Macaca mulatta: one gene and its partners. The protein of the gene in region 3 interacts with the protein of the main gene of each other region in a pairwise test. Links are inferred from orthologs where the notes say so. Each region holds a gene or a part of one and is shown on either strand. Other genes may lie near its edges.

The links.
Region 1: the proteins of REL (region 3) and SEC14L4 interact in binary tests that used the Homo sapiens proteins (3 or more experiments, as listed by UniProt). The two-hybrid records come from large-scale screens. The link is inferred for Macaca mulatta from reciprocal best matches to the Homo sapiens genes REL and SEC14L4.
Region 2: the proteins of REL (region 3) and FLAD1 interact in binary tests that used the Homo sapiens proteins (3 or more experiments, as listed by UniProt). The two-hybrid records come from large-scale screens. The link is inferred for Macaca mulatta from reciprocal best matches to the Homo sapiens genes REL and FLAD1.

Annotation. Positions count from the first base shown.
Region 1 is NC_133415.1:21,040,017-21,043,763, reverse strand, and holds the start of SEC14L4 (SEC14-like protein 4), read right to left. Parts: upstream 2,521-3,747; 5' UTR 2,411-2,520; coding exon 2,357-2,410; intron 158-2,356; exon of another isoform or gene 142-157; coding exon 66-141; intron 1-65. UniProt on the Homo sapiens protein: Probable hydrophobic ligand-binding protein; may play a role in the transport of hydrophobic ligands like tocopherol, squalene and phospholipids.
Region 2 is NC_133406.1:112,014,590-112,017,993, forward strand, and holds part of FLAD1 (FAD synthase), read right to left. Parts: intron 2,307-3,404; coding exon 1,562-2,306; intron 858-1,561; coding exon 710-857; intron 259-709; coding exon 160-258; intron 79-159; coding exon 1-78. UniProt on the Homo sapiens protein: Catalyzes the adenylation of flavin mononucleotide (FMN) to form flavin adenine dinucleotide (FAD) coenzyme.
Region 3 is NC_133418.1:63,901,163-63,904,909, forward strand, and holds the start of REL (proto-oncogene c-Rel), read right to left. Parts: upstream 2,670-3,747; 5' UTR 2,362-2,669; coding exon 2,352-2,361; intron 2,202-2,351; exon of another isoform or gene 1-2,201. UniProt on the Homo sapiens protein: Proto-oncogene that may play a role in differentiation and lymphopoiesis.

The DNA of each region.
Region 1 (3,747 bases), on a different chromosome or scaffold from region 3:
CTCCTCTCCTGAGACCCTCCTTCCTTCCCTCCCTCTCCGCCTCCCCTGGCCCCTGCAAGCCTCACCTAGCAGCCAGCGTAGGAGGAAGTAGTCATCAGCATTGGGCAGCATGGGCAGCAGGTTCTGGAGGTTCTCCCGGAACTGAGCGGGGGAAGAGCTGATGGTCAGCGGAACTCTCATGACCTTGGGGGCCACCAACCCCACCCCTAACCCTTCCCACTTCATCCACCAGTCAACTCCACCTGGAGACCATGCAGGGTGCTGCCCTGAACAACTTTGCCATCTGAAAACAGGGAACCCTCCAGCCCAACATAGGAAAAAGAATTGGGGGGCCGGGCGCGGTGGCTCAAGCCTGTAATCCCAGCACTTTGGGAGGCCGAGACGGGCGGATCACGAGGTCAGGAGATCAAGACCATCCTGGCTAACACGGTGAAACCCCATCTCTACTAAAAAATACAAAAAAAAAAACTAGCCGGGCGAGGTGGCGGGCACCTGTAGTCCCAGCTACTCGGGAGGCTGAGGCAGGAGAATGGTGTGAACCCGGGAGGCGGAGCTTGCAGTGAGCCGAGATCCGGCCACTGCACTCCAGCCTGGGCGACAGAGCAAGACTCCGTCTCAAAAAAAAAAAAAAAAAAAAAAAAAAAAAAAAAAAAAAGAAAAAGAATTGGGTCCTTCCCAAAATTTGGGGGTGCCCTACACACAGGACTCCCATTCTACCTGTCTAAGGTGGGGCCCTGGCATCCTTATTTTTAATTTTTATTTTATTATGATTTTTATTATTTTACTATTACTATCATTATTATTGAGACAGGATCTCACTCTGTTGCCCAAGCTGGAGTGTAGTTGCGTGATCTTGGCTCACTACAACCTCCGCCTCCCGGGCTCAATAGATCCTCCCAGCCCAGACTCCCAAGTAGCTGGGACCACAGGCACACAAGACGCCCAGCTAATTGTTGTACTTTTTGTAGAGATGGGGTCTTGCCATTTTGCCCAGACTGGTCTCAAACTCCTTGGCTCAATCTGCCCACCTTGGCATCCCAAAGTGCTGTCATCACAGGCATGAGCCACCGCACCCGACTGCCAGCCTTATTTTTTCAAGTATCCCTGGGAGATTCTGCTGCAGGCCAGCTAGAGGGTTTTAGGAATGTTATCCCTGATACTGCATCTTAAGGGTTTAGATTTAGAGGCAAGTTACCAAACCTCTCTGAGCCTTAGTTTCCTTATCTGTGAAATGGGGATAATAATAAACTTGTGCGAACCAAAGGAGTTTGTGCACGTAAAACACTTAGCAGGCTTGGCTCCAAGCAGGTGTCAGATAAATGTGAGCACTCAGCCAGCGTGGATTGCCTGATGCCCCAGACAGTGGAGGCTGTGTGGGAAAAAAACAGAGGCAGAGGTCAACAGACAGGGGCTGAAAGAGAAGCCACGAATGCCTTATCAGGACATCTGTTGGGGCTGTCGGGGAGTAAGCGTGCCTTTTCCTACTGGCAGAGTTGAAGGATGTCATTTAGAGTTTGGGTCTGTGACTGAGGCTTGGGTCTGAGAAAGAGAGGCGATCTCACTTCCCTGGGGACTAACAGAGCTGAAGGCAAGAGCTGGGTTTGAAGGTGAATCTGTGAATCCGAATTTGGGATTAGAAATATGAGGCCAGGCGCAGTAGCTCACACCTGTAATCCCAGCACTTTGGGAGGCCAAGGCGGGTGGATCATAAGGTCAGGAGTTTGAGACCAGCCTGGCCAATATGGTGAAACCCCATCTCTACTAAAAATACAAAAATTAGTCGGGTGTGGTGGCGGGCACCTGTAGCCCCAGCTACTTGGCAGGCTGAGGCAGGGGAATCGCTTGAACTCAGGAGGCGGAGGTTGCAGTGAGCAGAGATTGTGTCATTACACTCCGGCCTGGAGGACAGAGCAAGACTCCATCTCAAAAAAAAAAAAAAAAAAAAGATTACAGATAGGGAAGTTTGGGCCCTGTGAACAAATCACAAAGAGAAACCAAACAAACAAATGTTGCAACCTGAGCATGAAAAGGAGTCTGTCTACCCAAGGCTGCCCCAGCAGCCAGATGGCAGCGCCAATCCCTCCCCCACAACCGGGGAGAAGGACCAGGGCCGGGTGGTGGAGAGCAAGCAAGGTCAGAAGACTGGATTCGGCCCCAGATCACCCAGAGAGAGACTCCTGTCCCGCGTGCTGCACGTAGCGGCCTCAGCAACCGCACTCAGGACCAGAGGGCAGAACAGCGGCGCTCTCTCCAGGCTCGGTGTTCCAGCCCTTACCATGGGGGCTCCAGCCGAGTTGGGCAGCGCCAGGCTGCACAGGGCCCCTCCCCAAGCCTCCCAGCCCGCGATGCCCCTCACCCTGGCCAGCGCCTCCTGCTGCTGGGGGCTCAGGTCCCCGACTCGGCCGCTCATGGTGCCCGCGGGCGCAGGTCCGCCCGCCGCCTGGTATCCGCTGCCGCCTGGTTGTGCCTGCTGGGCCAGATGTTGGTCCCGCCCCGACGGGAGAGGCGCTGGTCCTGCCCCGCCCTGCCCAGTTCTCTCCTCCCCTCGAGGATTTTTTGCTGTGGTCACCAAGCGCACCCTACCTGGGACAGGGAGGTGACCTGCCGGGAGAATGACCTGGGGCAGCTGGAGGCCCCCACCTCCAGGCCTCCTTACTGCGGGGGCTCCCGCCTGTTCGCAGGTGGCAGGAAAGATCCCGATCCTCTTTCCAGCAAAATGGAGGAAATTTTTTTTTTTAATTTTTTTTTTTCTTATTTTGAATTAAATAGAGACGGGGTTTTGCTATGCTGACCAGGCTGATCTGGAACTCCTGGCCTCAAGCAATCCTCCCACCTCAGCCACCCAAAGTGCTGGGATTAGGCATGTGAACCACCACACCTGGCCAACATGGAGGAATTTTTAATAAACCTGGCTCAACTCTCTAGGACCCCCAAGGCTTTTGTCTAAGGACCCCCAAGCTCCTTCCCCTGCCTTGAACACAGTCTGGGACCTGTCAGTGTTCACTGACTGATAGGACAGCCTTATGTGCAAAATGGTTCCGGCCCTCAAGACAGTTGGAAGGATAAGAGGATGTACCCCGGGTCAGCAGAATGCCTGGCATTGCCTACTAAGTGCTGGCTGGTAGGAATATATTTCAGAATTGTGTTATTACTGAGGCTGTCACCAGAGCTGGGAGCTGCAGGGGTGGAGATACTGGGATGTCCCAGGTGCGGAGCTCCTGGGTGAGAGCCACAGTCTGAAGGCGGAGGCATGCAAGGTGCCAGCTGAGGACCAATGAAAGCCCTGGGCAGAGTGACAGAGGGGGCGGAAAGCCAAGAGGCCGCTCTGCCTGACACAAGAGAGCCAGGTGGAGATCACCAGGAAAAGCAAGAAAAAAGTTCAGCCGGGCGTGGTGGCTCATGCTTGTAATCCTGGCACCTGGCACTTTGGGAGGCTGAGGCAGGCGGATCACTTGAGGTCAGGAGTTTGAGACCATCCTGGCCAACATAGTGAAACCCTGTCTCTACTAATAAATACAAAAATTAGCTGGGCATGGTGGTCTGCGCCTGTAGTCCCAGCTACTTGAGAGGCTGAGGCACAAGAATCGCTTGAACCTGGGAGGTTGAGGCTGCAATGAGCTGAGATGGCGCCATTGCATTCCAGCCTGGGCGACAGAGCCAGATTCTGTCTCAAAAAGAGAAAACAGAAGTTGGCTGGGTGTGAATTTTCAAGAGAGGAGTAGAGGGGACGTGAAGATGAAGGAGAGA
Region 2 (3,404 bases), on a different chromosome or scaffold from region 3:
AGCTGGGGGTGCCGTGCCTGCAGTTCACCCAGGGCCTGCTTCATGCTGCCCTCAGCTTCCAACATCTGCAGATTATACCTTAGGAAGAAACAGAAGTAGGGGTCGGGAGTGAGCTCTGTCAAGCTTCTCTTGGAGCCCAAACCTCCAGGCCCCTAGTACCTCTTGATAGTATCCTGTAGAAATTGTTCCAGCTCAGGGAAAGGGGAGATGCTGCGGATATACAGGATCTGGAGGGGGTTTGGAACATCAGGTAATTTCCTGCGGAGGGGGAAGAATCCACAGGCTTGCCAGCATGGACAGGGAAATGGCTCTCCTGAAACAGCTCACTGTTCTCTTTGGCCCCTGGAACAGACTCCCACCCCTTCTCTCTTTTCCTTGTCCTTTCCATCCATTAGACCCACTTCCTCTGGGAAGCCCACTCTGACCTTTCACCTCTCAAATCTAAACACGCATCCCTGGTTCAGGTATGTAAATCTCCCATCTCCCCAGTGGACTGTGACTTCCCTGTGGTCAGGGATAGTGGCCTGCACATCCATACACAAGGCCAGGCACATATCATATGCTCAATATGGTGGGAGAATGGAACTGAGAGATCACCAAGACTATCTCCCCCTTGAACTCCACCTATACACTCCCTCTCCCCTTGCTTTCTGGGATGTGGAACTGGAGAAACAGATCAGGGGTCTTGTCTCCCAGGGGGCAGGCTCACCTCTGCACAGCTGCATGGAAGAGGTGCAGGAGGGCGGTGCAGTCTTTGCCCCCGTTGAAGCCCACACAGAGCTGGGTGAGGCTGTACTGAGCCAGGGCGGTCTCAATGGTCTGTAGGGCACCTGCCACCTTTTCCCCCAGAGAAGACCCTGCCAAGCAGGCAGGGAAGAGGGCATCAGATGGACACATATGGCTATCAAAGGGGAGTGAAGGCATGCTGCCCTTGCTTAAACCCTTCGATATCTTCCCAATTGTCTGAGGATAAAGTCCAAACTCCTTCATGCTGCTCACTAGGCCCTGCAGAGTTGGCCCCTGACCTGCCATCTGCCACCCAGCCACACCTCACGGTAGCCTCAGTGTCATTCCTCCGTAGCAGGGGGCGTGGGGTGTGGGCTTCCTTCCATTCCCCTAAACCCCATGCTGCTTCCTTGCAGGCCATCATTCATACTATTGGCTCTTGCCCACCTACTAGACCAAATCCTCCTTATCGCTCAGTTTATGTCACTTTGCCTTCTCTGACCCCAGATCAAGGCTGATCTCCCTGCTGTGGGAGATCACTCCCTTCATCACCCCATGCAGGATCACCTGTTTAATGTCCATCTTTCTTGTTAAAACACTCGTCCACAAGAGCAGGGCATACATTATTCTTTTGGGCTATATTCCCAACACCTAGCACAGTGCTGATGAAAGTAGGTACTCAATCAACGTTTATTGGAAGAATAATGAATTAACAGAAGCTATCTTCTGCCCTCCCTGGGATTTGCAGGAAGCACCCAACAGCCCCTGCATTACTGAGATCTGGGGTGGCACCAATGGCTTTGGGCATACTGCCCCTCCTCCATAAGGTCCCTACCTGATTCAGCGAGTTTGTATACAGCCTCACTGGCCTGCTCCACGGCGTTGGGCATGTAGGGGACCAGCGATCCCTGGGGCAAACGGGCAGTCAGGTAGGCCAGGCATTCCTCCAGGGGTCCTTCTTCCTCTGAGTCTAGAGTCAGCTTCACCTGATAGTAGTTGCTGCCCCAGTCAGGGTAGGAACCCAGGCCAAGCCTACGTCCAAAGTGGGCCTGGGCCTCAGCCAGAATGGGGGCAATGGAGGCTTCATCAGCAGCCACATACAGCTCCTTTGAGTGGAACTGAACAGCTGGGTTTTGGAACAGTCCCTTCAGCCCCTCCAGCACCCGCTGCAGCAGCTCTGGAATGCCTGGGAAGAGGTAGACATTTCGGACGGAGACCAGTGGGAATCTGAAGGGATGACCAGTGCGAGGATCTGTGCCGTAATGCAGGCGGGCAGAGGAGGGCACCAATGACAGCTTCTCCCAGCCTTCCCCTCCTAGGGCTTTGGTGGCTGCTTCCAGCTCAGGGTGTGGCTTCAGCTCATCCCCAAAGGCCCGTGCCACTGCCTCAAAGGTCACATCATCATGAGTGGGGCCGATGCCCCCTGCTGTGAGGACATGGGTGAAGCGGTTGGAGAAAGAGGTGACCTCAGCTGCAATGGTGGCTACCTCATCAGGTACAACTGAGACTCGGCAAACCTGGACCCCTAGGGAGCGCAGTGTCCGGCACAGAAAGAAGGTGTTGGTGTCCTGAGTGTGTCCCTGGGGGTTGAAGGGGAGGATGAGGCCGTCAGTACTGTAGGGATGAAGGGCAGGGGGTTGGAGATGATGGCTGCATCCACCTGATGATGCAGTGCTCTGCTCTTTGAAGGACACCACCTCAGGCTGCTGAGGGGCCTGGACTGGACACAAGAGTGGGAAAATCCATTTGTTTGTTTTTAAAGCTGGGTCTCTGTCACCCAGGCTGGAGTATAGTGGCTCAATCACAACTCACTGCAGCCTCAACCTCCTGGGCTCAAGGGCCACCTCAGCCTTCCGAGTAGCTGAGACTACAGGTGCGTGCCACCACGCTCAGCTGATTTTAATTTTTTTTTGTGGAAATGGGGTCTTGCCATGTTGCCCAGGCTGGTGTTGAATTCTTGGTCTCAAGTGATCCCCCTGCCTCAGCCTCCCAAAGTGCTGGAATTACAGGTGGGAGCCACCACGCCTGGCCTGCTTTCTTCTTTCTGTCCCCACTGCCACCAAGCAGGTCCTTAGCACCTTTCACCTGGACAATGGCAACAGCTTCCTGGCCAGGCTTCCAGCCTCCAGCCACAGTGCTCTGCTCTGTCTCCTCAGTAACCTTTATTAATGCGTCACTGTGATTGCATCACTCTTGGACTTAAAAGCCATTTGTTGTTTCCAAATGTATACAGAATAAAGTTCAAATTCCTTTGCAGAGTATTTGGGGCTGTCTGTGGCGTACACCCTATCTTCTTTTCCAGCCCCATCTCCCTCTAATTGTCTACAATGGGTTTAGTGGTTAAGGGTTTGTGTTCTGATGGCCGGGCGTGATGGCTCATGCCTGTAATTTCAGACCTTTGGGAGGCTAAGCGGGGTGGCTTGCTTGAGCTCAGAAGTTCAAGACCAACTGGCACAATATGGTAAAACCCCATCTCTACAAAGAAATAAAAAAAACTAGCCGGGCGTGGTGGCACATGCCTGTAGTCCCAGCTACTTGGGAGGCTGAAGTGGGTGGACTGCTTGAGCCCGGAAGGCAGAGACTGCAGTGAGCCGAGATCGTGCCACTGTACTCCAGCCTGGGTGACAGGGACCCTGTCACCAAAGAAAAAAAAAGGGTTTGTGTTTTGGAGTAAGAGA
Region 3 (3,747 bases):
TACTTTTTGAGGTTTTAATACTACCTTACTACAAAGAGAATCTAAACTAGACAACGAAAAACTAAGCAATTTCTTTTTCTTTTTTTTTTGTGTGTGTCACTTTTCTGGTTAAATTGCTGTTTCAAAACAGAATAGGAATTTAGAATTTCATTACTGAATCTTTTTCTATCTCTAAGGTCTTTATAACAGATTAAGGAAAAGTACACAGATTCCTTTAAACATTTTCTTTTTTTTTTTTTTTTAATTCCAGGCTTGGCAGTTTTCTAACAACTGAATTACAATTTAAATAACTTGCTACATTTTAAATAGTGCCATTTTAATGCAACTCTTGAGAAAAGACCAAAAAAACAAAAAGTTAATCACCCTTCAACTTCTAAACCTTTAAAATTTTCTATTTCTTTAAACATTTCCTCCTTACTTTTAGGGAATCCTTCCTCCTCACAACAGCACAAAATACAGTGTCAATGAACAAATTTAAATTGTATTACATTTTAAAATCCTGTGGGTCTTAACAATACTCTATACAGAAATGGTTGTTTCCTCTCTCATTTGAAAAAATTGTAAGTATTACATTTATGCAATACATCAATAAAGTTTGATTAAATCGCCAAGAGGCTGAACTTAACTTACAATGCTAGGCATTCTTCATTACTTCCAAACAAAATCTTTCTGATAACCAATAAATTAACAAAACATTTGAAGTCATCTTAGCACTTCTAATCTACACATGCTTTGAATTCACAAATTTACAGGATTATCTGAAAGTCTGGTGTCACTTAAGTGGGAAAAGGGAAAGCTGAAATATTTTAAACTTCACTTAGTATTCTCACAACCACAGACAAACTGAAATCAAATGTCATGTGAAACACCCCAATTTCCTTTTCTGCCTACAGCAGTAGCTATGGCATTGTTCTGCTCAACCTTTTAGAAAGGTTCTTTAAACTTCCTACTTCCTCATCTCCACTAGACATCAACCAACTTCTGAGGGTCACTGGACCAGGCAGTTTTGGGATGCGAGTCAAGTTCATAAACGGTGCCCCGTCTTCACTCTCTTAGGTACAGCATTTAACATATGCATTTAGCCCTCCCTGCCTTTGCTCACGCTGCTTCCTCTGTCTGGAAAGCGCCCCCCACTCACCTTGGCAAAATCCTGGTAAAAGACCAACTCGAACCCAGGCTACTTAATTTCTCCCACCACCCCGGCTCTCCCGTCCCCCCAACCTTGAGCTCCAGGCACCCCGAAACCACGTCTGTGCATACAGGAGGCTCTTCCCTGCTCTGCAATGTTTCTTATAAATTTATTTCCCCCCAAAGGGAGAGATCGAGCATTTATTAAGGGAAAATATACAGTCAAATAAGTGATAAAGTTGTATTCACTACTACCCATTATTTTAAAGCACGGATATTCTAAAACTCCTCTTTCCCCTTATTTCCAGCGGGAAGGAAGGGGGATTCAACGTCTCTATTCGTCAGATTAGAAACTGTGTGCTTTATCTCACAGTAAAAATTACACACTCTATTTTTTTTTTTTTTAATAGAGACAGGGTCTCTGTCGCCCATGCTGGAGAGAAGGGGCGCGATCTTGGCTCACTGCAACCTCCACCTCGCCCAGGTTCGAGCGATTCTCCTGCCTCAGCCTTCCGAGTAGCTGGGATTACAGGCGTGCGCCACCACGCCAGACTAATTTTTGTATTTTCAGTAGAAACGGAGTTTCAAAATGTTCGCCAGGCTGGTCTCGAACTTCCGACCTCAGATGACCCGCCCGCCTCGGCCTCCCAAAGTGCTGGGATTACAGGCGTGAGCCACCGCGCCCGGCCTACACCTGGTCGATGCAACATTAACACTTAAAATACCACGGATTTTTAAATTCGTGTTAAAATACCACGAATGATTTTTAAAGCCGTGCAGCATTTTGTACAACTGTCAGTACAAGGGGGATCACCTCTTTGCATTTGACGAAATTAAAAAGGGGGAGAGAGCTTGCCCGAGGTTTGAAGGTTCCTCATTCTTGTTCTAAAACATAAAACCACCACTTCAATACATATCCATTTTTAACATGAGAACTCCTCGTCCTCCTTTAGTTCGCTTATGACTTCCCTAATCCTAAAATCAAGTCATTAGGAATTTATAAGTTTCCTGCTATGACAACAGGATCAAATTACAGACCGCGGCTTGGATTTTGCACGCAAGCCCTGAAACAGGTAACTTTTTTAAAAGCTGACAATTTTACCATATGAGATTTTAAAGACAGAACGCGCCCCAGCCAAAACTGAGCTCCCTAAACTCACAGCGGCAGGACCCCAAGAAAAGCTCCTTCCCCCCGGCCCAGGTCCCCGACCCGGAACACTCACCGGAGGCCATGGCTCCGTTCCCCGCACCTTCCCGCAGGCAGTTCCCGGCGTCCTGGCCAGAGGCGGCCGTGGTCAGTCAGTCAGTCAGTCAGGAGGCCGAGGGACCTCTGCCGGCGGGGCCCCCAGTCCCCCGACCACCCCAGGGTCCTCCTCCTTCTTCCCGCCCTCCGCTGGGTTTGCGGCTCACACCTTCCCACCCCCTGAATTCTTGCGCTCCGGGTCACCAGCGTCGCCCGTCCACCGTGCGGGAGCCAGGGGCAGGGGGCGCAGCAGGGCGAGAGCCGAGTGCCGGCCAGGCCGAGAGGCTGGCAGCCTGGCGGGAGGGGAATTTCCCGCGGCTGACGTAGGCCCGGCGCAGCCTTCAAGCCGGAGGCGTGGGGCGGGGCGTCCTAGCTGCCGTCGCGCGCGCGACCGCCCCCAGCGCCCCGCCCTGCCCGCCCCCGCTCACGCTCACCGTCCGCCCCGGCGCGTACGCCCCCGGCGCTGCTGCGGCGGCGGGCTTGGGAGGGGGTCGAGGGAGCGGGAGCTTGGGGTGGGCTTCGGGAGCACAGGGAACGGCGGCAGCCGGGAGGTCGCAGCGTGAGAAGGCCGCCGGCTCCCGCGAAATCCCCCTCCTCCAGGTTGTTCTTCCGAGTGTGGTTTAAAGTTCAGGAGCGGGCGGGGGGGTGCGGATGACGTAGAGAGGGCCGGCCGCCCGGGAGCTTTTAGGGGCGCGCCGGGCGGCCGAGCGGGGCCGACCCTCCAGGCCGGGGAGGGCGACGCCCGGGGTTTTCGAGAGGTGGTTCCCCCTCTTCCCGACTTCGCGCATGCAAATCTCCACCCCCGCGCCAGCGCGGAGGGGGAAGTGCGGCTGCGGCAGAGCCTGTCTTCTTCTATAATTCCTCTATTTGCATACGGGGACCCCCCCACCCGGCTGATTTTTTCCTCTTTCTATCTAAATTGCGAGGGTACTGTGAACTTTACGTCTTTTACCTACTGAAACCCGTTTAAACTCAAAAGGTCCGCACATCCAGGTCGTTGTCTCATTACGCAGTGCGCTGAAGTTTAGTGGACACTGTATCCTGAGATTTCACACAGATACCAAGAAAGGGGGAAATGGAGCAAACATTTAGTGCATTAAAGGACCTAGGATAACTTCGTTTCCTTCATTTGAATAGTACCTGCTATGCGTCAGATAATGTCTATACCTAATCTATGACGTATTTATTATTCCTAATTGTATAGATGAAGTATTCGGGGTTCAGAGAAGTTACTTCAATATACAGCACTTCCAAATGCTGGTAAGAAAAGGCACAGTTTAAAAAAGCCAGGGTTGTCTGACTCCAAAGCTCCATACCCTTGCCCCATCCCTTACTAGTTAAAATAAGTACGGAGAGGGAATGGGGAGTATCAGCCT